7 linked regions of the Nothobranchius furzeri genome follow. The protein of the gene in region 6 interacts with the protein of the main gene of each other region in a biochemical or structural test. Links are inferred from orthologs where the notes say so. Each region holds a gene or a part of one and is shown on either strand. Other genes may lie near its edges. The genes, in order: pdk1, nedd4a, gab2, badb, foxo4, akt1 and ccdc88ab.

Evidence for each region.
Region 1: of the proteins of akt1 (region 6) and pdk1, one has a biochemical effect on the other in vitro, tested with the Homo sapiens proteins (3 studies listed by BioGRID and IntAct, with this or other methods). The link is inferred for Nothobranchius furzeri from reciprocal best matches to the Homo sapiens genes AKT1 and PDK1.
Region 2: of the proteins of akt1 (region 6) and nedd4a, one has a biochemical effect on the other in vitro, tested with the Homo sapiens proteins (3 studies listed by BioGRID, with this or other methods). The link is inferred for Nothobranchius furzeri from reciprocal best matches to the Homo sapiens genes AKT1 and NEDD4.
Region 3: of the proteins of akt1 (region 6) and gab2, one has a biochemical effect on the other in vitro, tested with the Homo sapiens proteins (2 studies listed by BioGRID). The link is inferred for Nothobranchius furzeri from reciprocal best matches to the Homo sapiens genes AKT1 and GAB2.
Region 4: of the proteins of akt1 (region 6) and badb, one has a biochemical effect on the other in vitro, tested with the Homo sapiens proteins (6 studies listed by BioGRID, with this or other methods). The link is inferred for Nothobranchius furzeri from reciprocal best matches to the Homo sapiens genes AKT1 and BAD.
Region 5: the proteins of akt1 (region 6) and foxo4 form a complex in vitro, tested with the Homo sapiens proteins (2 studies listed by BioGRID, with this or other methods). The link is inferred for Nothobranchius furzeri from reciprocal best matches to the Homo sapiens genes AKT1 and FOXO4.
Region 7: the proteins of akt1 (region 6) and ccdc88ab form a complex in vitro, tested with the Homo sapiens proteins (2 studies listed by BioGRID, with this or other methods). The link is inferred for Nothobranchius furzeri from reciprocal best matches to the Homo sapiens genes AKT1 and CCDC88A.

The regions. Positions count from the first base shown.
Region 1 is NC_091754.1:20,884,805-20,887,572, reverse strand, and holds the end of pdk1 (pyruvate dehydrogenase (acetyl-transferring) kinase isozyme 1, mitochondrial), read right to left. Parts: intron 1,568-2,768; coding exon 1,454-1,567; intron 1,382-1,453; coding exon 1,241-1,381; 3' UTR 541-1,240; downstream 1-540. UniProt on the Homo sapiens protein: Kinase that plays a key role in regulation of glucose and fatty acid metabolism and homeostasis via phosphorylation of the pyruvate dehydrogenase subunits PDHA1 and PDHA2.
Region 2 is NC_091749.1:60,023,882-60,028,464, reverse strand, and holds the start of nedd4a (E3 ubiquitin-protein ligase NEDD4), read right to left. Parts: upstream 3,128-4,583; 5' UTR 2,921-3,127; coding exon 1,631-2,920; intron 1-1,630. UniProt on the Homo sapiens protein: E3 ubiquitin-protein ligase which accepts ubiquitin from an E2 ubiquitin-conjugating enzyme in the form of a thioester and then directly transfers the ubiquitin to targeted substrates. Specifically ubiquitinates 'Lys-63' in target proteins.
Region 3 is NC_091753.1:44,950,980-44,954,866, reverse strand, and holds part of gab2 (GRB2-associated-binding protein 2), read right to left. Parts: intron 3,733-3,887; coding exon 3,635-3,732; intron 3,509-3,634; coding exon 3,229-3,508; intron 3,124-3,228; coding exon 3,033-3,123; intron 2,927-3,032; coding exon 2,830-2,926; intron 2,745-2,829; coding exon 2,622-2,744; intron 1-2,621. UniProt on the Homo sapiens protein: Adapter protein which acts downstream of several membrane receptors including cytokine, antigen, hormone, cell matrix and growth factor receptors to regulate multiple signaling pathways.
Region 4 is NC_091754.1:60,854,399-60,858,940, reverse strand, and holds the start of badb (BCL2 associated agonist of cell death b), read right to left. Parts: upstream 2,843-4,542; 5' UTR 2,819-2,842; intron 1-2,818. UniProt on the Homo sapiens protein: Promotes cell death. Successfully competes for the binding to Bcl-X(L), Bcl-2 and Bcl-W, thereby affecting the level of heterodimerization of these proteins with BAX. Can reverse the death repressor activity of Bcl-X(L), but not that of Bcl-2.
Region 5 is NC_091741.1:84,782,989-84,787,502, reverse strand, and holds foxo4 (forkhead box protein O4), read right to left. Parts: upstream 3,104-4,514; 5' UTR 2,955-3,103; coding exon 2,511-2,954; intron 2,382-2,510; coding exon 993-2,381; 3' UTR 963-992; intron 518-962; 3' UTR 309-517; downstream 1-308. UniProt on the Homo sapiens protein: Transcription factor involved in the regulation of the insulin signaling pathway. Binds to insulin-response elements (IREs) and can activate transcription of IGFBP1.
Region 6 is NC_091758.1:33,903,094-33,906,963, reverse strand, and holds the end of akt1 (RAC-alpha serine/threonine-protein kinase), read left to right. Parts: coding exon 1-120; intron 121-235; coding exon 236-323; intron 324-517; coding exon 518-620; intron 621-1,517; coding exon 1,518-1,597; 3' UTR 1,598-3,279; downstream 3,280-3,870. UniProt on the Homo sapiens protein: AKT1 is one of 3 closely related serine/threonine-protein kinases (AKT1, AKT2 and AKT3) called the AKT kinase, and which regulate many processes including metabolism, proliferation, cell survival, growth and angiogenesis.
Region 7 is NC_091752.1:26,346,500-26,350,386, forward strand, and holds part of ccdc88ab (girdin), read left to right. Parts: intron 1-244; coding exon 245-447; intron 448-627; coding exon 628-675; intron 676-3,887. UniProt on the Homo sapiens protein: Bifunctional modulator of guanine nucleotide-binding proteins (G proteins). Acts as a non-receptor guanine nucleotide exchange factor which binds to and activates guanine nucleotide-binding protein G(i) alpha subunits.

The sequences.
Region 1 (2,768 bases), on a different chromosome or scaffold from region 6:
AACAGTTGTTGTACAGACACAAGCACTATTTGTCTTTTAATTTTTGAGGGGCCACAAAGTTTTAAATGTATAAATGAGTTTTATACATGTGCCTGTTAACTGCATTTTCTTGTTTGTTTACTTAAAATCTATTGTTTTATATCTAAATTTTCTACTAAGTAGAATAGTGTGGCTGGTAGGGATGAGGTGAGCTGCTGCGTCCGACCCAGACTCCATCACGGAGGTGGAACCACGATGCACGGCGTTGACGCATCACGGGACTTTACGGCAGAAGGATGAGCCAATCACGAGGACTCGTTTGAGTCTGGAGCTGCTGAGGCCCAGCAGTGAAAACTCAACTCACACTCTTCCTCGGAATGGCTACATCGTCTGAACAGAATATGAAATGTTGGACCGCAAGAAAACTCTTAAAATCAGAAGTGATTCTTGGTACACAGTGTAAAAAAAATAAATCTCATTTTCACTTGTGGCTTTTTTCCCCCAACTTCATACAACAGGTGCAATTTTTTGCACAGATTTATCAGATGCAGAAAGAAAATGAAACATTTGATATATTTTATTCAAGCATTTCCTTTTGGAAACCTCTATTCCACTTGCATAGTTTTTTTTACCCCAAAAATCCAAATATTAGAACAATCTAAATAGATCTACTGAGTTAAGTGCTTACAGTGCAACAACAAACTAAGACTTGTTCAGTCCTAATGCCACCACACTGGGACCAGTTAGCATTACATTAGGAAGAAAAGCTCGGAAAAGTCAAGGATGTAACATGACAGTCTGGATTTTTGTTCCTTCTAGTTATCCAGTTGCTTTTGTAAAAAAAAATAAAAATACGACCACGTAACTATAATATAGTTTTTGACCACATCAAGCAACGTTTTAAATTTTTCCTTTTGCTTTTCAAAATAACGAAGCAGAAAAGAAACTTAGAATAAAAGTTGCACACTTGTAACATAAACTAGGATCTTGTAACACCTTAAAGATGTACAGTTGTGCAAATGGTCCTGAACTACCAGAATTTAGCCTTTTCTCATTACACCCAGTTTGTTCAGCCTGGACAAATTTAAACTAATATTGGTTGTTCAGCAGCTCACGGTGGTTGTTTTCTTAATGATTAGTTGAAAACTAATACAACATATGGCACTAAGTTTGTTCTGTGATCTTTTTTTAAAACACCAGTTAAATACTCATTCCTTAACGAGAAGGTTCCCTAAACGCCTCGTCAAGAAGCCTTTAGGCTTTAAAAACTACGAAACGTGGTCATGTCCTTGGGCTCTTTGCTCGGGACGCACCAGTCATCGGCCTCGTGGATGGTCTTGTAGTGCTTCCAGGCAGACTTGTTGTACACGGGGAGTCGCTCGATAGATTCTGTGGACAGTGCCTGAAATAAGCAAAAGAAAAAAGTTAAGTTTTCATCCTACAAGGAACTTCTAACATGGTGAAACTCTGTTACCCGTATGTAGATCACAGCATCAGTTCCATAACCCTCCAGAGAGTATAGCTTCAGATCCCCCTGAAAGTAACGAGCATACAGCCTAGAGATGGGCAGGCCGTGTCCATAACCAGCCTGGGAAAACACAAACCATGATTCAGCAGAATCTTATAGTCAGTCCTGGTGTAGGTTGGCTCAGCTACATTTAGTTTACTGAACAGATGTTTTCCCTCCATTTTTAGGGGTAGTTTTTATGTTTTTTGACCAAATAGGAAAACTGGACCAAAGATGAACACCCAAACAAAATAATTATCTCACTGAAGCCTCACACCACGTGCAGACTGAAATCCGTACAGCTTCCGGATGGACTACCATTTACACCGACTGGGAAGTTGCTTGCGAGTTCACACGAGAACAACTAACCTGAGTAAAGTTGCCCCCCCCACACACACACACACACACCTTGTTCAAATTTTGTGTCAAACATTTGTGCTGCAAATATTTTTGCACTGCTTTCATTGAAAAGATAAATAAAAGTTTCCAAAGGTTATCCTAGGTCAACCCCCTGCACCCAAGCTGTGCTGATTTGATGCCAATGGAGGGGTTAAAGGTGAATACAATTGCTAATGTAGTCTACGTGACCACTTTTCCCTGTCCTTCAGGTCACATATCAGTTCAGTCACTCGGTCAGCTTACTTTCATCTTAGGAATATTTATCGCCTGCTCTGTTCACTAAAAAATTTTTGATTGATTTGCTTAATAGGGGGGGGGGGGGGGACCTTTGAAAACCTTTACTAATATCTAAAATGAAAGTAGCACAAACAATGTTGCAGCATCAAAAATGCAGCACAAATGTTTGACACCAATTTTGTTAGATTTTGGGGGGGCAACCTCACTCAGCTATTGTGTAGAGAGGAGCTGGTAAACAAAAGCCACAGCCGTCTTCTCAAACTGATATCAAGGGCATTAATTACACAAGCCGACAGACAGTTGCAACAATGGTTTTATTTTTAAATAAACCAGATGCACCTTGCTGCCATACATCTCACTTTCTGTACGTTTCATGTAATTTCAACTTCTTGACGATCCGCAAGCAGCGTCCCAAAAAACAAATGGAAACCTTTCAGGACGATTCTGCAGCTCCGGATCGCAGTCCAATCAGAGCATGCACACCGGCTGAGGTGGGTTCAGATCCGTAGGTTTCCGCATGGATTCTAATTGTTTCAGACACCGCATGCAAATTGTCACAAAGTTAAAAACATAAGCCAGACAAAAACTGACATGTTTAACGAATGTGCATCAGTTTTCATTTAAAATAAAACCCGTGTTGCATTAT
Region 2 (4,583 bases), on a different chromosome or scaffold from region 6:
GATTTGACTGGCAGTGAGTGGTTAGCACAATGCTAATATACACGGAAAAACACACAGCATGCTACTATCGCCGATTACATTCTTACAAATTACGAATTAGAAACGTACCAAATGATTACATTTGGAGTCTAATAAAATGTAAAAACTGCCATTAATCAAATAAGTACAGACAGATATATTAGTAAAGCTAGAAAACCGTAATAGACTTTAACTCCACAGAGTTTTGGCTAGCAGCTATGAATGTAACTGAACTACAGTAGCTCTGCATGGACAAGACGTCAAAAACTATAAGCACAAAAGACTTCAATAAACGGGACACATTTCTTCCCTGCAAATAAATTTTCACAGGTGATGCCAATACCTATGCGACTTCAAGGGATGTGCTCCTGGCTGCAAAGCATTGCACCTTCGAATACAAGATTTTGTCTTGGCTTGTGAGTGTTTATGGATGTGTAGACAAATAAACTTGTTGATATGATATGTAGATACATATGTAGATACATAAACTTGTTTATATTCAGTACAAGTTACATTTTTTTTCTGCTTCCGTTAGTTGAAAAATATGAGAAAAACCCCTTGAGAAAATAATCGTGAATTCAATCACAATTGCAGTATTGAAGAAAACATCGCAATTAAGATTGTTTTCCAAAATCGTTCAGCCCTAGTAAAAGGATATGAAAACAAACCTTTGCAGATTTAAAAAGTCTTAAGTGGACCCTCTTTGACAACCTGCTAAACGCAGGAAGAGACTGACAGCTGATATTTCACAAACATTGCTTGGTGGGGGGACCCACAGGGATGGTAGCACGCCACCCGTTTACTTGGAAACGAGCACACACACACACACACACATGTACGCAGATAGCCGACATGACTGTGCACCACTCTAGTATCATGCTGTTAAATTTGAATCCACAGGTTTTGGGCAGTGCTACAGACCAGCAGACTATCCGGAGTCAGGGGGAATATTTCAGAGGCACCTTATTTATATCGGCATGGGGCACTGCGCTTCCCAACTCTATAAATAGCCATGGTAAATACTTAACCTGATCACTTATAGTGCTAACAGAATAATAAAAGTGGAAAACTCTACTGAAATTGTGTTTTCACACTGATGAATGCTGGTATTCACAAGATGGAGAACCTGTCTTTCTAATTTACACATTTCTTGGTATCCAATATGCAGATGGATTTACTGTAATGTAACTGAACACCTCTGAATGTTTGTCCACACACAGCTTGTTAAATACATGACTTAAAGTTAAAGGGCTTCTCAGTTACTAGAAGTCTTGTAACCAGTCTAATGCTAAAGTCAAAGCAAAAACAGTTTAAGACTTTAGGGTGACATTATTCCAGTGTACTGGAACTTAGAAATTTTCATTGATGAAAACAACCAATCAGTTAAAAGCTGCAAGTTTACAACAAACAATTAATCAAGCGGTGTTTATTTATACTACTCATTAGAAACTCTCGATATGTCTGAACATTGATGCAGGAGAGGCTGAACCAATGACGGAGTGGAATCTACTCAAACTTGTTTGACAACAGTGGCAGCAGGTCTAGAGTGCTGACAAAAGGCTACTAGGTGATCAATATAAAGCCTCTAAAGAGTTAGAAATGTCATACTCACCTTGTCATTTTGAACTGAACCCTTTACTGCATTACTTTCTTTGTGATTCTTAACATCTGTAACAGAGCTTCGCAACCTTCCGGGGTAGCATGGGGATAAATGAATGTGCACATGTGGGGAGCGAGGGCTGCAGAGCTCGGGGTTAGAAACGTGGCATGAAATTCCAGTGTTAGGGTAGGGCACCTCGAGGGAAAAGCTCCTCTGTATGGCACGATGCTTTTCACCAAGCCCGATTTGATCTTTTCCAGACAAACCGCTTTTATCGTTTTTCTCTGATGGCTTGGATGAAGAAAACAAACAAGCAGAGGTACTGCGATACAGTTTTCTGTGATTGATGTTTTCCCTTTGAGATAGGTGAACTTGGTGGTGAGCTTCGTTGGCTGCAACCATTTCCACAACTCCCTTGGTAGATACTGTTGGTTTCTGGTGGGCAAAATGCAGCAGCACGCTGCTAGAGTGAAGATTAGGTCTGTCTGAGGCTGACGGAAGCTCCATCAACGCGCTATTGCCTTCTGATTTGCATTTTGTTCCATCCTGTAGAGGAATATTAAAGTGGACCATGTGTTTCATGTCCCTAAGTTCAGATGAGCAGCTTCGTTTTGATGTTTGGTGTCCACTTGCTACAGTGGAGCTCGCCCCTACTTTCTCTTGGGAGAAATCACTGAAAGACGTCTGAAGATGTGACTGATTAGTACCCTTTGGCAGTGGGTAAGCAAACGGAGTCACAGCACATCCTGGGGAAGCAGGTGGAGTGCTACATGGGCTCTTCGGAATAATAATCAGTGAGGAGCATCGTCGCAGCGGGACCTTGGACTTGCGACAAAGCAGAGTCCTCTCCTGGATTGTCCTGTGCTTTTCTGGAAGCTCTGGCTCAAAGATGCTGCTGCTGCTACAGTACCCCGCATCGCTGGCCATGCTGCTGTTGCATGAACCTCCGTCAGAGCCGGTACCTGCTCCAACTTCACAAGCCCCTGGTTCTCCATCTTCTAAACTGCAATCCAGTTTTCCACCGAGTTTCCCACAGGGCTGCAGCGCAATTTGCAAAACGCTCTTCTTATTACACCCTCCAGCGTGAACCCTGGGTATGAACACTGAAGAGCACTGACTGCTGGCAACGTCTGGTGACAGAGGAGTCACCTTCAAGTGAACAGAGCTGTGCGCCAGATTCTCCGCTGGGCCATGAGCCGACAGACTGACTCCACTCTCTTCACCTTGGCTGCTGAGGCTTTCCGACAGGGGGTCCGTGTTGCTTCTCCTTGACGCAAAATGCAAACGGAGCTGATGTGACATTTGTTCAACTCACTAATCCCTGTAGGGCTGGCGAGACGTACATGATCAAACTTGCTGGTGGAAAAAAAAAACGAGAGCAAACGCAACAGCTCCATGCGCTGTGATCACAATCATTAGTAGCTGCGCATTGCCAAAATAGCTCTGGTGACAAGCTACATTCCTCTCCAGGCTGATCTCAGCTTTTAGTCAGAGCAGGCCAGTGGTTCTGTTTGGAGACATGACCCAAACACATGACCTTTCAAACCGAACCATTAGCCCCTTTAAAATTCCTCGGCCCAATAAAGAAGAACAAAGCTACTCTAAAGATAATTGGAAAACCTTTTCCTCAGCTTTGCATTCTAATAAAAGCCTAGCGTAACTCGACTGTGCCTCCAAAAAAAAAAACAGACAAATTAGCATTTTTCTTCTGAAAATAAAGAAAAACAAACAAAAGCATGACAGTCCAACGTGCTGCATTTTAGACTGAAGCTCTGGTAAAGTGTCACATCTGCGTTGGCCCATTCGCTCAGGACTCCTGCTGCTGCTATGCTACTAATGTTTCTGCTGCTCTGTGCCCCACAAATAGTTTTACCCATTGCTATTGAATTACAGGAAATCAAACGAGTGAATGTCAACAAAATTCTGCATCAAACCAAGGAGCAGGTTGCAAAAGCACATTTCAGACAGTAAATCACAGAGCTCATTAGGATAACACAAGAGCTCCTTTTAGTGTTTTAGCAGTGACTTTAAATATTTCCTGCAGGGAACAGGACAGCTGCTGCCTAATGAGAAAAACGTGAGGTTTTAAGAAAAAATAAATGTCATGAAACTGGTTATCTGATGCCTCATGTAACAGTCAATGCTGCTCTTATTACTTCTCCATAGATGTTGACAGTTTAATTTATTAACAGTGAGGCTGCCTGACCTATTTCAGGGCATTACTTTGCTTCCAAAGTATAATAATGGAAGTCACGGCCGGGATAAGGACATGACTCACTGCAGGACGCTGTGGAACTCCTAACCTATTTTTTAAACCAACAGAACCGTGTGACAGTAATGCAATGGCCATACAATATCAAATGCTTATATAGAATGACGTCATGCGGCAATAATACAGAGACACGTCCCTTAAGAACTCCATGAGTTTGGTATCAAAGTGAACAAAAACAAAGGCGGTATTTAATCAACTTTTCAGAGAACCAGTCTGCTGTGTAGTCACTACAAGCTGAGTCAGAGAGGTGTGGTTCGAGTAAAGACTGGAAAAATCAATCAGCAGGTGCAGCAGGTGGATGAACTAGTTTCTTAAGCTGTGTTTATTTACTTTTAGGTATTTAACCAACCTCTCAGTCACTGTGTAACAGTTACTGTTTGTATGCAGCATCTAATCTGGAATATGCTACATCGATGGTTTAGTTCTTGAATGTTTTTAAAACAGTTCAAGTTTTTAATCCTCTACAGTACAGACTATTTTGAACAATTTAGGGGAAAATTCTACTAATTTAATAATAAACAACAGGTTAAAAGAGTGAGAAGGCAATTTGTAAAAGTCCAGTTTGTACATCAATGTTCTCAGTTTGGTTCCATTTCCGAGTGGCTGAAGGAGCTGCTTGATCTGTGTTGATCTTTGTTCTACAGCAAATCTTTTCCTTATTACTACTATGTAAAGATTTTTAGTATATTTTTC
Region 3 (3,887 bases), on a different chromosome or scaffold from region 6:
GTCTTGTCTATATGTGTGTGTGTGTGTGTAACCTTGGTCAGGTTGTACTGTGGAGTCAAGTTCCTACGCTCTGAAAGGAGCGCTGGCAATAAAATTCTTCTGATTCTTCTGATTCTGATTCTGATATATGTATATATATATATATGTATATGTATATATGTATGTATATATATATATATATACATATATATATATAACAAAGGGGCCCTTATTGTGAAGAGTTACCTAAGTTTTTCAAAAGCTGAGTCATTAAGTAGCAATGTTATATAGGACACCTCATATAAATAATACAGTAAAAAAAACTATAACCTTATTTAGCCACTTTTAATCTTTATTTATGAAATTACAATTACTGACCAACTTGCATTTAAATTCAAAATGCCATTAAATAATTCAACAAACCTACCAAAATAAAAGCAGGGTGAAGAGATTCCTTATTTAAGGTCTCAGAGTTCCTTTAATGATAAGATTGAGAGCCCATTATTAATGTTCCCGTCTGTGTTTGACTTGCACATTGACATGATCCACACTAATCAATTCTTCAATGAGTTTGAGACATTACATAGGGGATCTCTTAGCCTTTGCTATTTTTGGTAGACTAAATCTGTTTTGAAGCTGTCTAAATTAATGGTAAAGAAATATTCAGTCTGAAATTTCCACATTTATAATTGGATTTAGCTCCATCTGTAGTTTTATGTGTTAATATTTAGATTTGATCATGGAATTTAATCTAAATGCGATGAAGTTTGGTTGTTTTAACTTATTAGTTTAAGACCTAGTCCACACGTAGCCGGGTTTTTTAAAAACGAATATCCGCCCCTCCAAAAACGTGCATCCACACCACCACGTTTTAAAAGCAAACTCTGTCCACACGTACCCGGATAAATACGTTGTTAAGGACATGCCAGACCTGTAGGCGGCAGTACTTCCCCCGTTCTTAACCTCGTCCTTCGTCTGTGGTCTTCCGTAAGGAGCAGTAACTCCGTTTGCAAAAACAAACAAGCAAAAAGCGCTTGGACAATTGATGGATCAGGCAGTGACAGAGCGCAGCTCTGAGGGCTTCCATGATGTCGGCTAGTGTAAACACAGGTCGCACACATGATGTCAACATTTTTTGGTCGCGGAAAGTGACGTTGCGGACCTTAAAACTCCGGTTATGTCCGTCCACACGCAGACACCCAAAACGGAGAAAACGCAGATCTTCACTTTGGCCGGAGTTTTTAAAAAGATCCGTTTTCGTGTGAAAAAACTCCGTTTTCGTGTGGATGACAGGCCAAAACGTAGAAAAATATCTACGTTTTGGCAGATCCCCGGCTACGTGTGGACAGGGCCTAAATCAATGCCCTATAGGGAGCCTGAGGCCCTGTCCACACGTAGCTGGGGATCTGCCAAAACGTAGATATTTTTCTACGTTTTGGCCTGTCATCCACACGAAAACGGAGTTTTTTCACACGAAAACGGATCTTTTTAAAAACTCCGGCCAAAGTGAAGATCTGCGTTTTCTCCGTTTTGAGTGTCTGCGTGTGGACGGACAAAACCGGAGTTTTAAGGTCCGCAACGTCACTTTCCGTGACAAAAAAATGCTGACATCACGTGTGTGACCTGTGTTTACACTAGCCGACAGCATGGATGCCCTCAGAGCTGCGCTCGCTTTATCAGTTGTCCAAGCGCTTTCTGCTTGTTTGTTTTTGCAAGCGGAATTACTGCTCCTTGCGGAAGACCACAGACGAAGGATGAGGTTAAGAACGGGGGAAGTACTGCCGCCTACAGGTCTAGCATGTCCACTCCTTAACAACGTATTTATCCGGGTACGTGTGGACAGAGTTTGTTTTTAAAACGTGGTGGTGTGGATGCACGTTTTTGGAGGGGCGGATATTCGTTTTTAAAAAACCCGGCTACGTGTGGACTAGGCCTGAGTCACGCCCATCTGCTTCCGGACCATGGGTCCCCAGTAGAATGAATAAACGCTATTTTCTAATTCCGCTTATGTGCCATGGATTTCACACATGATGTCCGTGAATTAAAAAAAAAAGCATTTTGAGAACATGAAAGCGCATATTTTCGAATGGGGTGAAACGCTATTTTAGGTTTTGTGTGAAAATAAGTCCAGTACTACAAATGCGCTTCATAAAAGTGATGTAATCGAACCAGACATGGAGAAAAACAGGGAAATGGCTGTAAGTTCAGCAAACTTCAAATCCTTCCTTCAGGAGGAAAGAACCTCCATAAATCTGGTCATGTGGTACGTAGCAGCTATGCTAGGGCAGAGGAGATTCTGTGGTGATATCACATATGTGACTTACTGATCTCTGGTGTGTAGTCATGCTAATTACGAACTTTTATAAGCTGATAAATCTCACAGTACGTGACAGGCATGGTTCAATTACTTTTTATTTAAATGGAAGTACAACATATATGTGATCCAGGGCGTAAGGCAAAGCGGATTAGAAGATAGCTCTTTTAGCTCCGTTGACTTGCATTAAATTTTTTTGTTCTTCCGGGGACCCATGAGCCGACTGGAAAGGGAGGAGACTTAGGCTCCATATAGGATTAGGATTCTTGTGAGTACAAAAAGTGCCATAATAAAAAATGGATAAACTAAGTTAAACCTATTTGCTCACTTTTCTATGTGGACTGGGTGAGCCAGGCTGGAAGTCCAGGGCCAAGTAGTCCACGTTCCCACACTTCCGAGGGGCCGGGCTGCTGGTCCCACTCACGACTGGGGAGGTAGATGCTGGATTTTGCTGATGTTAAAAGAAGGTTTCGGTCACACAATGACGTAAACAAGCCAATCAAAAATCCACCTCCCGTCCTCAAACTGGAACTTACCATAGGTACATAATTCTCCTCGCTGTCTGCTGAGTCGGTGCTGGTGATGCTTTGAGTGGAGATGGGTCGACAGTGCTGGGAGGAGTTAATCGCAGGCCTAAGGAAAAACGCAAAAGACTGTGAGAAACATCAGAAAAATGCTGTAACAATTATGTGTGAGTAACGTTGGGAAATCTGTGACAAGTGTCTGGTTAAAAGCTCACATGGGCCGAGTCCATGACATGGTGACGGGGCTCTTATACGGCAGCTCGTCAATGATCCCATTGTTCTTCAAATCGAGAGGCGTTGGCTTTGCTGGAGAAAATCAGACCAGACATCTTTAACCAAACAATCCACAGAAAAAAAATAAAACTCTAGAAATCAACAATTAAATGAAAAGTTAAGTGTCTAAACGCTCACATTTCCTGTTAGGTTTGAGGTTGCGGTTGATTGGAGGTGGTGTTACATCGCTGAGACGACCGGGCCGGTGACACAAGGAGGCACTGCTCCCCTTGCGGGCAGGTAATGTTGCAGAGAACCCTGGGAAATCAAAGTGATGTGGCCCGGGGCTCATGGGAATGTAGATATTCTTAGGACTGTCGGCCTGGGCAGCACTGAGCGGCGAGGAACCAGGATTCATGGGCACGTAGTTGTCTTCGGAGTTACCGCTGTCTGAGCGAGTCAGAGGGGTGTGGGCCCTCTGATGTCAAAACACACACAAGTCACATGACTCTCTGTGCTCAATAATGTAAACAAACTGAGAAAATCCAAACAGAATCTTGGTTTTCATCTGTTTCCACAGATTTGAATGGCCATTCCTACCCACCAGGTATGAGCTGAACCCATCGTTGACCGACTCCACAGACTGGCCTGAGTTGTTGAAATGAAACAGTCGATGGTGGTTGTTGATTTCAAAGGAGGAACCTGTGATGGTTGAAAAGGAAGGACGATATTTCTTACCAAGCCATAAATTACATCAGCTTCCAAGACAAATACCACAGATGGATCAAAAATAGTGTAAAGCAGAAGACCTTCTGTGAACATGGAAAGTAAAGAGAACATTTTAGTTCTTTGCTCTA
Region 4 (4,542 bases), on a different chromosome or scaffold from region 6:
AGATATGCACAGGAACTAAACATCCCAGAGGTGGCAAGAATAGAGAAAGAAACAGTGACAAGCTTTGCCAAGAGGACCAGAAGGGAGGCAAAGAAATGGGCACAAAAAAGGATGAGAGAAACATGGGAGGAAAAACCAATGCATGGACAATACCCCTTGAGAGTAAAAAAAGCAGATGTAGAACAAGATCATACTCATCAGTGGCTACGCAGTGCAGGACTGAAGGCAGAAACTGAAGGATTGTTGATAGCAGCACAAGACCAGAGCCTGTCAACGAGATCATACCACCACAAGATCATTAAAGACGGAACAGACCCCATGTGTAGAATGTGCAGCCAATATGAAGAAACCATTGACCACATTGTCTCAGGCTGCCCCACTCTAGCCAGAACTGAGTACATCCACAGACATGACAGGGCAGCAAGCTATATCCACTGGAAGATTTGCAAACATTTCCATCTACCAGCTGCAGATAAGTGGTATGAACACCAACCACCAACAGTGACTGAAAACAACAACATCGCAGTGTTGTGGGACATGCCAATCAACACAGACAGAGAAATCATGGCCAACAGACCAGACATAGTCATCAAAAACAAAGAAGAGAAGACCTGCCTCATGATTGATATGACCATCCCATCTGAAAAAAATGTCACCACCAAGGAGCTTGAAAAGCTATCAAAGTACAAGGATCTGGAAATAGAAGTCACAAGAATGTGGGGGATGAAGACAGCAACAATACCCGTCGTAGTGGGTGCACTTGGCCTCATCAAGAAGGGACTGGAAAAGAGAACAAAACAGATTCCTGGAAACCCAACAGTCCAAGAAATCCAGAAGATTGTTCTTCTCGGAAGTGCCCACATCATCAGAAGGACGCTTTCCATAAACTAACCCTGAAACTGCCTTAGAAGCATGGATTGATTCTGGCACTTCAGTGAAAGCATACAAATATACAAAAAATATATAATAACAATAATAAGAATTTAATAATAATAATAATAACAATAAAATAATATTAATAATAATATTTATAATAATAATAATAAAATTTTTTTTTAAATAATAATAATAATAATAATAAAACCAATAATAATAATAATAGTAGTAGTAGTAGTAGTAACGTCATTATAGAAGAGACTATCTGTGCAATGTAGCCTAATAAAAGAAAGGCAAGTATGTAAAGCTAAATTAGTATTTTACTATTGAAAGTCGATGTTTGTCCAATAAAAATTAAGTAGGAAATGCAAATGAAAGTAATGTTTTTAAAAGGAGTTTTATTCTACCTGCACCAGTAATGGGAGGAGTACTTGATTTTTTTTTTACTTGAGTAAAAGTGCAGATGAACAGGTGAAGAAAATAACCTATGGAAAAGTGGAAGTATCCAAGAAGATAATGATTTAAGTAAAAGTATTAAAGTATGCACTTTCAAAAGTACTCAAAAGTAGAAAAGCAAAAGTCTTCATCTAACAGTTAAAGCTGCTTTCCGGAGTTTTCCTCTTTCAGAAACGATGTATGATTTGTCAGAAATCCGTAAAAGTGATTATCTTATCATGTACTGTGATCAAATATAAGCAATACATCTTTTTTTTCTTTGCTAAGCACGCCCCCTGCCTCTGTGCAATAGGAAACCGAGCACCGACCAGAACTAACCAATAGCGTTAGACTACCGCTTAGACGCTTCACATTTAAGGAATACCTCGGCTGACGCAGAGTTGATGAACTTTTCATCGACAAGCAAGTCTCTAAAATATAAATATATGAAAACACACGACATGAGAATAATACTCGTAAAACAACGTGTTTTAGCTCCGTTTGTCGGCTACAGAAGCACATTTATGAACAGAAACGTGAAGTCGCCATCTTAAATAAAACAAAGGAATGGCGTTTTTGTGTGATACGCTCGTCAGCCACTAGATGGTGCCATCGGATAAGAGAAACACTCCGGAAAGAAGCTTTAAATAAGCAACAGCACTAGCTCAGGAGGTAGAGCAGGTTCTAATTGGAAGGTTGCAGGTTCGATCCCGGCTCCGACCAGAGAATGCTGCTGTTGTGTCCTTGGGCAAGACACTTAACGCACCGTGCCTGCTGGTGGTGGTCAGTGGTTGTCAGCCTCACCTCTGTCAGAGAGCCCCAGGGCAGCTGTGGCTACACTGTAGCTCATCCCCACCAGCGTATGGATGTGTGAATGACTGATTGTGTTGTGAAGAGCCTTGGGGGGTTGTAGAACCCTAAAGGCGCTACACAAATACAGGCCATTTACCATTTACCGTGTGTGGTGTGTGTGTAGAAGTGTTCTGTGGAACCAAGGGGGAGGGGCTAATAAAATTACCTTTGCAACTCCAGTACGGCGTGGTAGTAGAGTACAGGTGGGGGTCGGACAAAGCAAAGTAAAAAGTAGGCCTCAATAAAATTAGTTACATGAAGTACAGATACAGAAAAAATGTACTTAAGTACAGTAATGAACTACTTATAGTTACTTAAGTAAAAGTGGGAGTATCCAAGTACAATGCAAAGTAATTGTACTTCATTACATTCCATGACTGTTCTGTAAAACTGGTTCCTAGTTAGGAATGTAGTCGAAGTGATGAGTCATCCTGAACGCTTTAGTGATGAGGATGTCGGACCTGTAAGCAGGAGGCGGGAAGTGAAGAAGCTAACCAGAGCGATCATGTAAGCGCCTGGGTACCAGCAACGGTCTCAGAACCCACAGAAGGAAGCAGAAGCCGGAGACGACCCGAGGAAACCTCAGGGAGAAGAAGCAGAAAACACGAGAACAAAATAACCCAAAGACACACGAACTCTGAACACCGAAACAAACCTTTGATGCATTCTGATCATCTGATGGAGTTTCGGTCAAATCTCCAAAATGACTTGATGCTCGATGTCAGAGCTTGGAGTGTGTGATGTGAATGACTCTCACACACAGAAAAATGACTCAATATCTGTGGAATCCTCTGAGTTAGAAGCATTTTCATCTTGTTCTGTTGACTGTGGCGGCCATCTTGAACAGGGCAGGACTGGATGATGGTCTAAAGCTGCTAATCTCACTGCATCGCTGCACATAATTTACTATAAATCTGTCATGGCCCTGCTAACGCTGCTGTTTCCTCTCCACCTCTCACGAGAAACGTAGGTTATCCATCCTCTTCTACACTTTAGGTGGGACAGTGATGAGAAGAGGAACAACTTCACAAACACAATTTGGTTTTTCCATCAAGAGGAAGTTCACATTTTCAGTGCTTCCTCTGTGGTTAACTTATGTCATCACTAAGGTCACCATTCCCACCCATCACCCCGCTCTCTTCCCCCCTTTCTCACGGTTTCACTTCCACCTCTCATCTCTCCATCCTTTCTCTGTTCCTTGTATCTGGGCCACTGTCTGAACTAGTTCACCACCCGTTTGCTGGCCAATGGCGTCGTTATTTCTGCTCAATTAATGATATTTTTGTCTGTTTTTGGGTGCGTTCAAATTCTAAATTCATAACCAAGAATAAGGAGGCGTTAAATCTGACTGTAGAGCTTCACAGTGAGTTCCTGTTTCAGCGATTTCACACAAAAACAACAGGAAAGTTTGAAAGTACCGAAGCGTATTTCTATTAAACTATAATGAAAACTCTGCGATGGACTGGCTCTCTGTCCAGGGTGTACCCCGCCTGATTGCCCATTGACCGCTGGAGATAGGCACCAGCCCCCCGCGACCCTACGTGGACAAAGTGGGTTCAGAAAATGGATGGATGGATATAATGAAAACTTTGGTCAGCAAAACTGAGGAGATGATGTAACATCAGCAGAACAATCCACACCTACATAAAACTAATAACAGCAAGGCTGTGATGGATGGCTGTCGCCACGGGAACAAGGTGCAGGAACTCATTTCACTACGATGTATTAGTGCACGTCTTCAAGTGTTCAGCATCTTATCAGCTCAAATCATCGGCAAACATGCAGGCATTTTAAACCCAAAGGTCATGTGCTAACACTGTGTGTGTGTGTGTGTGTGTGTGTGTGTGTGTGTGTGTGTGTGTGTGTGTGTGTGTGTGTGTGTGTGTAAGTGTAGAAGGTCAGAGCTCCTTTCCAGAGTGGGAAAGAAAACACTGGAGATGCTGGTGATGAATTGCTCTTTAGGACCATTTTCCGTGCAGCTGTTTTCTCCAGGCTTTATCCAACTGACACACCGGATTCAAGCATGTGCATGGTGCGTGCACACACCGTGCACGGTGTGTGCACGCTGCAGTTTGTATTTCTGAGCAGAACAAGAGTTGGAGATCATAAATAAGACAAGCTTTTACCCAACAGCCGAGTCTGAGAGTTTGTCTGAAATACACATTTGTTATTAATGTTCTCTGAGCTGCATCTACCGATGGAGACACCAGAGGATCCAACCGTTTTTCCGTGCGCCTGTACAGACGTCACACATCCTGCGTTTCATTTTTTATGATTTTCACTCAGAGCTGAGAGGAAACACACCACCTTTCTGATACCCAGCTGGTGTTGCGCTGTGATCTCGTTCTGCGTTCTGATTGGTTGGCAGGCGGTTCTGAG
Region 5 (4,514 bases), on a different chromosome or scaffold from region 6:
TGTAAAGGTGGTCCGTGATCACAGCACGCAGAGTGTCCAACGTTCCTCCAGGCGCCTCCTATCAGGGCGGTGCACCTTGTTCAGCCGATCTCACAGCGTGTGGTCTGACGATCCGTGCAGAATGTCGCAGCAAAACTGGCCGATTCTCCAAAGAACAAAAAATCATAATAATGTAAAAAGTTCAACACCAGCTCTAAATAAATCTGGGGACACCTTGTCTAAAGCTACTCTGATGAACTCCCAGGACAGAGGAGATGATGACTTGTCTTTCCACTCCAAAAATACGCTCTCACGCACATCCTTTAAAAAATCAGTTCAGATTGTAAGAAAAGAAAAAATAAACTGTGCATAGTAGCCTGAATCTCCTCACTGTCCTACGCGTGTCTTGGCACGTGACATGGGTCAGGCCCGGGTTTTGCTGTTTTAACATCCGAGAGAGAAAGTTTGCGTTTTATGGGAAAGCATTTTGAGCCTGCTGGGAGGAGGGGCGCCCCGTTGTTGAGCAAGAGGTCAGATCCTGCAAGACAAGGAGATCGATACAAGAGTCATTAATGTTGATGCTGATTGGCTCGTCCTGGGAACGGAAGCGATGCACTTAAAAGCTTGATTACATCCGTGTACGCAGATGTGTGTGAAAATGTAGCACGCTCTCACTTCTTTAATAAATCACGTAGACTCAAATGACTTAAATAGTAAATTCACAGTTACAGAAAACAAAAAGGCTAACCGTCATTTGGGACAATAAAAGCTGTAAATATCTGCTTACGATTAATTGCAGATTAACTATTTAACAAATTTTCAGCTCTGAAATGATAACCTGACCGCATGGCCTCTTACAATATGAGTATCTACACGGTTTCTCTGTTTAACCTCACTTTACCACTAAATAATGTTGCTTATTAGCTCATTAAAGGCCCAAAGTGTCCCTGAGACATGATCAACAGAGAGAGAAGTCCATGTACCTGGCTAGTTTCGTGTGTTGAGCTGCAGAATTAGCTGGGTACCCAGCTGTGAGCCGGCCCCTGTGTGGACGGGCCGGTGTAACCTTGACCTCCGGGCAGGATGGGGTCAAAGTTGAAATCCATGCCATCTCCATCCATGAGGTCACTGTTAATAATGTAGTCCACATCACAATCCAGGTTTTCTGTGAACATTTCTATGTCTATGTCTGTAGGCAGACGGTCCTGGCCTGTGGGGAAGCTGAGTGGAGCTGGAAACTGGTTCATAGTAGAGAGCGATGATGGGTCCTGAGACATACCTGAGAGGATCATCCCTATGCCCATCTGAGAGTGATGCTGCTGCTGATGGTGGTGATGGAGGTGATGCTGCTGAGGTTGCATCTGAGGCTGCAGCGCTATTGGTGCCACAGTGCTGGGCTCCAGCCCTTTACCCACCTGTAGCTGGTTGGAGTTGGGCCTCAAACCCACCACAGATGAGCCCAAACCCATTGGACCCATCCCTCCAGAATTAGGCATGAGAGAGTCCACCTGCGCCATCAAAATATCACTTGGAGGAGGGGAGTCTGAGGTGAGGAGCGCCTCCAGACTGGAAGGGACATGGCTGCAGTAATGGCTGCTTCCACAAGAGACGGGGCTGGGCATGGGGTTGAAGATGGAGTTGCTGAAGGTCGCTGGCTCTTTGCTCGGTCCACACAGAGAGACAGAGGCCTGGGTCCCGGTGTTGGCAGGGGCCTGGGAGACGCTGTTTGGCTGCAGCTGATGGAAGGAGGAGAAGTTGGAAGCCCGTGGCAGCAGGGTGGAGGCAGAAGGTAGTGGAGTGGGAGGTGCTGGTGGGGCTGTGCTGGGGCTGGCCCCTCCTTGCTGCCCAGTCATCAGGGTCAGGTTGTCGATCAGATCCAGCTCCTCCATGACGGTCTCTGTGAGGGTGGGGGTCAAGCTGCTGCTGGTGTATCTCCCCAGCAAACTGTCCTCAGGCAGGTTATCGTCATCCTCTTGGACAGGAGCGATGGGGGACAGACGTCCACTCAGGGTGCTGGCATTAGAACTTGTGCGGGGGCGGAAAGTTGTCCACATGTCCCCATCGTCCAGGCTGCCGCGGGACGAGGGGCTGCTACTGTTGACGCCCCATTTAGGAAACTGCTGGGATGAGTTAGGGCTGTCGGCACCGGCTGAACCGGTGCTGCCATCGCCTGGCAGCCCCCCTCCTGTGCCGGCCGCTCCCGCCTGCTTTTTGGTCTGCTTGGCTCTCATGCGGCTCTTCAGCAGTTTGCTGCTGTTGTCCATGGAGACAGCTCGGCGACGAGGAGCTTTTCCAGTCTTCCCCCCTTCAGGATTCAGCATCCACCAGGAGCTTTTACCTGTTGATTCATTGTGTACCCTCAAGAACTTGTTGTGGAGTGATAAATTGTGGCGAATCGAGTTCTGAAAACAGACAAAATAGAAAATTATCAAATCCAACAGCTGCAGGTAGGAAGATTATATTTACAGATTAATCAAAAAAATTTACATATAAAAAAGCTGAAAACACTTGTTTTTAACATTTGAACTCACCTTCCAGCCGGCTGAGCTGTTGCTGTCTCCTTTATCTCTGAAGTAAGGCACAGTTTTCACCATCCAATCATAGATCTGAGCCAGGGTCAGCCTCTTTTCCGGTGAGTTCTCGATAGCCTGGCTTATCAGATCAGCGTAGCTCTGGTTCCCCCAAGCGTTACGCCGGGATGATCCTTTGCGGGGCGTCGCTCCAGCCCCGCCCACACCGGCTGTAGCCACGCCCTCAGCCGCTGCCGCCGCTTTCTCCGGCTCAGACGTGATTTGCTGCGGATCGGGCTTGTCCTCATCGGCAGGCGGGGTCCCGGCGGCTGACTCCGTGCCGTCCGTCCCCTCCGGTTTGACAACAGAGATGTCGGGTCTCGGGAGAGGCCACGTGCAGGAGCGGGGTCTGCTCTGTGGCTCAAAATCTGGGTCGATGGGGGGCATCGACGAGTCGTCCATCATGGCGGTTCCCTGAACTTTTCTTTCACCAAGTTTCTCTTTAAAAAATGACCCCTAACAGTTTAAAAGTAGATCAAAGTACGAAGAGAAACTTTTTGATCCACAAAAAAAAAAAACCACAACTGGGGGTGTCTACCGAGAAGTCTAGAAGAGACAATAATCTGGACACACCAATGGCCTTGGTTAATCCTCAGATTGGAGATTAGGGAACCCAAATAATCTCCTTAATAGTAACTATTATAAACCTTCCGATTTATACAGAGTGAAGGAGGACTGTGACTGGAGTCCTTTTGTTTCAATGAAACAAACAAAAGTGGCGGAGTGATTTGGGGCACCTAAACATCTGGATCTACAGATGTTTTGGCTCACATGGAAAGCAATAAAAAACAATCAAATGTCAACTAAAACAAAACAATGCCATTCCACTTGAAAAACACTCAATTTACGTCTTAGATGTTTAAAATAATAATATTGAAACGAGTTGAAACAGAATTATTATTCAATATCCAATAATGTTTCTTTTTACAAAAGTACAAAACTATAAAGACTCACGCAGGAATTAGTTTGATACAAAGGAGCTTCTGAGGAGAACCACCGCATTTGTAAACAAACAAACAAAAAACATCCAAACTTTCTTTAACAAGGCACAACTACAATAAAAAAGTCCATTGTACTACACCCAGCTAACAGCCACAAGTCAGTGCGGTTGAATTAAGAGTTAAGAGTAAAAATGTCTGTCCGCTGACTGTCAGAGGAGCTACTTTCTGCTGCCCCCAAAAAAGTACAAACAGTTCTGAGACGCTCCTCGCCGCCTCTGCGGCCAGGCTAGGAGAGAAACACCCAGACTAGATCCAACGAGAAAAAAAACGCAGGTAGAGCGCTTTAGTGTCCAGTTTTATAGTGTTTACTGTGGTAAAAATGTCGAGAGGGTAGAAAAGTAGCATAAAAAGTCCGTGCCTCAAGTCTGCACGATCCGCCACATTGCGGCCAGGCGCGTGTCACCATCTGCCATGTTTCTCTACTCTCCTGCCGCGGCACACGATGTGTACAAAACTCCCCAGAAGGAGGCACGGATTTCGGTCAAATTTTCCTTCTTTAGCTCTGTGAACTCGATAAATACAGCTCACAGTCTGTTCCCGGGTGCTGCGCGAGGCTGGTCGGCCCGCAACTCTGTCGGCTCCCCCAGTCGCTGCACTTTGAAAAAAACAGCACAACCACCGTAACGTTAGCTGCTTAAGCTCCTGCTACTCCAGAGTTTACAATCCGTGGAAAAGTCGGCGAGAATCCTCACAAAACGTCATCCAAGTAGCCGTTTCCAATCGGTGGTGATTTTTCAAGTTTTCTTTCGTAGTACCTATCCAAATATTAGCTTATTCACTCTCTTTTTGACTTGTTTTGCTTTGTTTTGTTTTGACTCGAGGCGAAGACTCCCTTCTGACGTCTGTTTACCACTGTCAGGCAACGTGATCTGCGCATGCGCGGATAGAACTCTGGGAAACCGAGTCACTCATGTGACAGACGTAAACAGCAGACCAGGGAGGCAACATGTACCTCTATTATATA
Region 6 (3,870 bases):
CCAGGACCACGAGAAGCTGTTTGAGCTCATCCTCATGGAGGACATCCGCTTCCCTCGGACTCTCGGGCCGGAGGCTCGCTCGCTGCTCTCTGGTCTTCTGAAAAAAGACCCGATGCAAAGGTCAGGGCGGCGGTAACCGTACACACGAACACTCCATTCAGAAGATATTTCTAAAATTAACCATTTTTTCTACTCTAAATGTGCAGCTTTAAACTTTTTGAACTTGTGCTTCCAGGTTAGGCGGCGGTCCCGACGACGCTAAGGAAATCATGCAGCACAGGTTCTTTGCTGGGATTAATTGGCAAGATGTTTATGAGAAGAAGGTGGGTTTTGACTGGTTTCTATAAATAAAGCCAGCAGCTGTCACCTCCTCAGGGATCAATAAGGTTGTGCGCCTTGAAACAGCAGCAGCATCATCTAGAAACCATATACACTGTCAGCATCGTGGCAACTGTTACCCCCCTGACTGATGGCAGGGATGCTCAGATATAATTGTGTCTTCTCTCCTCTCCAACAGCTGGTCTCGCCGTTTAAGCCCCAAGTTACCTCGGAGACGGACACACGATATTTTGACGAGGAGTTCACGGGACAAACCATCACTATCACGCCGCCTGGACAAGGTAGCGTCAGCCTCCTGTGCTTCTGAGCACCAAACAAACATGACGGTTCATTTAGATTATTAGAGTTGGGGAAATGCTGTTAATTCAATGTTTCAAAGCAACTATGAATCCTTTAGGAATTTTTTTTATTTTTTCTAAAAATCACAGGCCTTTTGGAGAAATTCAACTCCTCATTCAGTCGTCATCAGTTTCCTCCTCTTGGACTAGTTTTATCTTCTGTTCTTGAGAGCTGAGAATTGAGTTGATAATGTTCAGCTTTTTAAATGCAAACGAAGACAATACCTAGCTCTTGTGATATTGGTGCACCCCCTTCTGGAAATGTAGTGCTATTGACAGTTTATAGTACTAAAAAAATCAGGGGTGCCCCATCCTGGTCCAGCCGAGCCGCTATCCAGCATGTTTTAGTTTTCTCCCTGCCACAACGCTCCTGATTGTTGTGAACAGGTGATTAACAGGTTTCTGCAAAGCTTCGTGACCTGCTGAACAGGTCGAGTCAAACCTCGTCTCTCTCACCGTGCCATCACAGATCAGTCAGACTTCAAAGTTGGACTTAAAACAAAACATCAGCCTTTTAATCCCTAGGGGTCCCCATACTTTTGGTTTATGGTCTGTTTTAATTTGGTTTTATAATAATTTTACTGTAATTTGGATTTTAGTGTCTTTAGTATGAACTTTGGTTGTCTCTTTGGTTGTGTAGAGTGCACTGCAAATGAACTTTGACTGATTAATTGCCATTATACACCCCTGTTGAGAGTGAAAACATATTTACTGAGAAATTGTCAAATAAACCTCTGCTTGATTCAAACATATACTGAAAGTAATAGTCAATAAATGCTAACTACAATGAAGGATACCTAAATAGAAGATTAAATGATTCTTTATCCTCTCCCTCCTCAGATGACAGTATGGAGTCTTTTGACAGTGAGCGACGGCCCCACTTCCCTCAGTTTTCCTACTCGGCCAGCGGAACGGCCTAAACGAGACATTCCTCTGGTCCCACCATCAACCGCCGCCGCCACCCTGACTGCGCTCTCTCTGCCTCGTCCTCCCTGCAGTGTCTGCAGAGCGCCGTTGTTGGATGTGTCGGTCTGCGAGCCACAGGAAGGAGGAAGTGCAAGACGAAACAAAGATAACCGTGCTCGTTCTTCATGGCCTCTGAAGACTGACCGTGAAGATAACACTACCCTGCATTTCCTGGTTGTTATGCTGTGTACTGAGCAGGCATCCTTACACCATAATGAATGGGGAAATGCAGCCATGCACAAATTGGGGTACTTCTATAACTCAATAGAAAAGGGTGTGTCGTCTATATTCCTCACTTACAATAAAATGTCAACCTTTTGAGATAGATCGTAGGCACGCTGTGGACCATAAACACCATGTGAGCAGAGAGTGTGTTGCTTGTTGAGCGGTTGATTCATCCATGTTTCCAGAGTCCATTCAGACCTTTTTTTTTATTATTATTTTTTTGGCTTCGTAAGTGAATGTACCGTATCAAATAAAGTTAATCTTCCTGCATACCTATGTGTTGTAACACATGCCTAATTCTCCTCTGAGACTGAAACGCCTTTATCTGGAAAGGATTTGTGATCCTGCCGCCCCGAGGCTAAGCCGATACGCCGTATTGCCATGCCACACCATGATGGGTCTGATAAATCTGTTGTGCAATATGATGATGCAAAAAGTGGCAGACATGCTAATTGTTTGGGTAATTAGATGGCCTGCAGTGAATTTATTTTTGTAAACTCTTTGCACATCAATGAGAGACCTAGGGTGTCCTGTTCAGGCCAATAAAAAGCTCCCTTCCGAAGTAAGTCCTTATTGTTCCTGATGCCTTTGTTTATCTGGATGCTGTGCTCTTTGTTTCCCACCGCCTGGGTCACTCAACGACCCCCTCAAAACCTCTCCTTTATATGTTTGGGTTTTTCCTCCATGTACAGTACGCTATTGGGTGTTTCCCACCCGGTGCAAATGCTGCAACCTCAGTGAGGTCTCTGACTTTTCTTTAGGAAAACTTTCCATTCAAACTTAACTTCAGGGGAAAACAGTCTTTGATTTGTTTTGAGGGGACTTCTGTCCCTTTGTGAGCTTTTGAGTTATTTATATGAGACCAACATGGATAAAGAGTTTCACTGTGCCAATGACATGCACTTTGCTGCCCAAAAATGATTGTATTTGGACCCCTATGTGTAATTTATGGTTGGTAATGACTAAATTAGCGTCTTTTATATTATGAATTCATGTGTTTTCCATCATTTCTTCCTTTTTAAACAGGCTAAAACTGACTCTTTGGAAGTTCTGTCAAGAGTTTCCAAAAGCACTTCAGTGTTTCTTTTTAAATGACTGATAATCATTAGCAAAAGTACATAATTCGTCATTGAATGTAACTTTTTTATGATATATTTAGTTCAATTGTCTGCAAACTTTTGACTCTCTTGAACCTGTTTGTGACTTATTCCTATGCACACTCCCCATTCGCGGTCACCTTTTCAAATAGGGAAATTTGTTTTGTATTTTTTACTCCATGTTTTTTTTTGTACCTGCCCGGTCTGTATTCCTGAGTGAGGACACCAGCTTTAGCAAACAAATAATATAAACTTTGTACACAGTTTTTACTTGTTTCTTTTAATTGATGAAATAAAAAAATCTTATCAGTTGCTATGCTTTGTGTATTTAAAATTGCATTTAACTCAAGTCTGAGATATTATTTAGATTAATCTTTTAACTTCCAAAACAATAGTCATTTTTTTATTATTTTTTTATTTATCATTTTGGAGAAACAATGGTTAATAAAATAAAGTATATTTATAATATTCACGTAGCAATAAGCTAAAATACTATAACTTTATTCCAACATCTGCTTATTTTTTTGTTTAGTAGTTTTTTTCCAGTGTAGTTGAGTGCAAGTTTTAAAAGGGTACAGTAACTAAAATAGGATCTACCATTTAAAGGGTTCATAACATTTAAAATCACTTTTTCTTGTTTTCTCAATTAATCTAAAAGTTTTCTGCTTTACACCTTTTTCAGACTTACAAATCCCACATTAATTTTCCACTTGATTTATCTGAAACAGAGTTGGTTTCTTTAATAAAAAAATGATATGAGTTGTAGATCATGCTTTTCTTTCCTCCTGATAAAACAAGCCATGTGTGCGAGACGAATCTTCCAACGCTCAGCGGTTCTGAATGTGTCTTGGCTGATTTCTCTGCCTCTGCAAGGCTGCTCAGGTTCACGTCCGGGCCTCTGCAGC
Region 7 (3,887 bases), on a different chromosome or scaffold from region 6:
AGAGATCTATTTCTAGTTTTTGTTATAGGAGCAAGCTTCAGTTTGCTTTTTGGCTCTCAGAGATGCATACTCTTAGACACGTTCATCTAATATTTATGACTGCAGAGCCACAGCTGCACACGGCAACCCTTAAACATGAATAACAGTCGGGATTTGTTCAATATTGTTTTTTTTATTGCTGCGGCTTCTTTCTTTTTCCTTCGTGGTCTTTTCTCCTCTCTCTGCCTGGTCTTTTTCGTCCAAGGCGTGGGAACTGGATCACCCTGAAGATGAAGAAGCTGATCAAGCCAAAGAGCCGAGAGAGGATGCGTTCTCTCACGCTGACTCCGTCTCGGTCCGAGTTCGGAGACGTTTTCTTGCCGTTCCCTCAGGACAGCCAGGACAGCTCTTCTATAGGCTCTGGCTCCAACTCGCTGGATGACCCGCTCACGCAGAAGAGGAGCAGCAGTGAGTGCACGGAAAACGGGCACACGCACAGATGTTGACCTAAAATTCACAATTATTTACACTTTATAGATGATTAAAATTAAACCATGTTCATGATCAGAGACCGACGGATGTTTTGTGGGTGTCTGAGTGGTCGTTTGTTCCCTAACTGCTCCTTTCCATCTTTATCTCCGTGCAAAGGGAGGAGAGGGCAGCAGTGCCATGCCCAAGTGCAGGGCTCCTCCAATGGTATGCTGCGGATGGGGAGGGTGGGCGGGGCTAATGACCCAACTGTCATGGCTCTTGGGGCATGTTTTTGTGAGTTCATTGTCTGTGTCTCTCTACTGTAGTAGAGGTTACAGCTGAGCTGCACAGCAAAGAGAAACGGAGGTAAAATCACAGACTCGGTTTTAAAAATGGATGCATTTCATGTTTGAAACACAAAGCTGCGCTTGATTCCTGCAACCTTATCTCTATAAAATGTAGGTTTTCTGAATCACTTTAAGAAATGTCACCATTTTAGACAGTGGTGTGTCTAGAAAACTTTTTTTGGGGTGGCCAGGTAGGGGCCCAAGTTCGGACAAGGGTGGCACATGTATATAGCTCATATCTTTGAGAATTTTTTTAAATGAAATTACAACTAATTAATCATAAGCTAATTGGATACTATAAATGAAAATAAAGTAACCAATACCAGTGGCGCACTTTTATCAATAATTATCTGACATTTTCCCATAAATAAATGCATAAATCTATTACAATGAAATCAGGACTTTCTCTGACATTGTAAAGTCAGAATTATTTTAGAAAAGGGAGGAGGGCGCACTTTGGATTAAGTAAATTAATTTTCAGGCTAGCATTTTAGTGCATTTTAACTTTGTGGTAATTTGTAATTGTTTAAATATTTGTCAACTACAGATATAGGTTTAAAGCCTAATATCAATGAAAGAATGAAAAATATCAATGAAATATCTTTAACTAGGAATGAAATGCCCGGCCTGGTTGGTTGTTTTGTTTGAACCCAATAGTCTCATTATCTGAATTTGTGAAATGTTTTGGATCATGAACCAAGCTCTACTTTATGCTGAAAATACTAAAACATATAAAAAACTTCTAAATGTCATATTATTATATTTGATTCGATGTTCTAGATGTTTTACTGTCTCAGTTTTTGGGGTGGCCAGTCTTTTTGCAGGGGGGGCCTATGGTCTCCCAGCCTTTCTGGACACACCCCAGCCTTCAAAATAAAAGGTTTTAGTGAAGAGTCGGAAGCAAACGTGTTTCATTTTTAGTCTTTTTGAGAAATGTGTCATTTGCACACAAATATCACCAAAATACATTTGAAACATCAGCAAAAATGTAAAATCTGAGAATTATGAGAAGGCTTTTGACGATTATGTAGGAACACCTTTAATATCCACAATTATTAGTTATTATCTTTAGGCTGTTTTCTATTCATGCTCTCTTGTTATGTTGGATATGTTAAGTGTTTTAAGTTGAATTTAAATAATTCCCTCGAAGAAACCATAAAATGAAGATTAAGATGAAAGAAAGTGTTTTATAAATAAAAAAGAGCACAATGTAAACTTAATTAAATGTGCAACAACATCAAAGAAATCAGTTTAGATTAGTTTTAACCGCTATTATGTAAATAACTGTAAGAAAGGTTTTGTGATTGGACGTTAATGGTTAACTAGCTGTTTGTTGAGGGGATCAACATTCAAGCTGAATCAAGTGCACTTCGTGTATTTCAAACACTGAAACTCATTTAAGCCAAACTGCATTCCAGGTCTGTTTCTTTTAAAGTCCCCTAGCTTACACATCCAAGCTCACCAGCGTGTACACCTGCAGATCGGTGCAGCTCAACTGTAGAAAAGACAGCAACACGCTCTATCATAGCATCAAAGCTATTAAATGGTGCAAGTCTGGTCCATCCAGGATTGCTTTCTAGGACGGTAAAAAGAAAACGGGTTTATTCTCTAAACACATAAAATATTCAGGTTTTCATAGAATATTTTGATTTCCATTCAGCAAGATAACAGAACTGTTATTAAAACAGAAATCCAGAGTTTTTTCTACAAGGGCACCATCTAGAGGATACAACATGTATTACACCTTTAAGCCCCTCTCCCTACTTCTGTTAATACAGCTGGAAGCAACGCTGCTTGCTCGTAAACATTCACCTCTAGTCAGCGCGGTTTATATTCATGCATTCAGCAGACACTTTTGTCCAAAGCGACTTACAGGTGATACTGTGTTTATATATATATATATATATATATATATTAGTATATACTCTAGAAGGTGCTATATCAAATACAGGCCATTTACCATTTATACACACACACACACACACACACACACATATATATATATATATATATATATATGTATATATATATATATATATATATATGTATATATATATATATATATGTATATATATATATATACATATAATGAGCCTTGTAAAGCGCCTTGGGGGGTTTACACATATATATATATATATATATATACACGCTTTGTGGTTGACATCTGTACGTAAGCGGATGTCTGATGCTATTTGCAAATGCTTGGCGGAGCTCAAATTAAATTGTACGAGGGGGCTCTATGGGATAGGGGGTGGGTTTGGCAAAACCAAATTGACATATTGCCTTTCAGTACAGGATAAAGTGTCTTTCACACCAAATGCGGTAAGGAAGCGGCCCGTTTTCCGAACGGACGGCCTTTCACACTGACTGCAGTTTGTGTGCTGAACGTAAATGGAAAACTGCTCCTACAAGAGCACCAAATGATAAAAAAAATTGCCACAATACATTAACAAATATACCTGTAACAATAGCGTGGACTATCATACACTTAATTGATAACCCTGTCATTAATATCCAGCTAAAATAATGCGACACAAGTTTTATTTTGAAAAATACACCGGCTGTACCTCGCTGTTCCACATCTCATTTCCTGTCTGACTCATGTCATTTCTTTAACTACACGACAGTCCACATGAAATTTCATCTGAATCCACACCGCAACCGATGTGAATGCTCTGATTAGAAGCGGTATAGAAACTGGACCACATTTGTTCTGCATTTGGTGTGAAAGAGGCTTCATCCTATCACGTTTACAGATTCCTAAAAAATAATAATTCCTGAAAGGGGGAGACTCTGGATTGCTGCTTTAATGTTTATTAATGTAGGGTTAGCAAGTTACAGAGTTTTTGTTTGTTGGGAATGCTCAGTCTTCCCTGATGCCTTTAAACCCCTCTTCCTCTCTCCTGGTTGCACCCTTTAATATTGTGTGTCTCATCTAGTTGTAGTTGTGTGTTGTTGTGTGTAATACGTGAAGTTTTAAATGCTGTTCAGACTTTTAGGATCAAAACCATTTGATTGTTTCCATTTGTGTGTGTGTGTGTGTGTGTGTGTGTGTGTGTGTGTGTGTGTGTGTGTGTGTGTGTGTGTGTG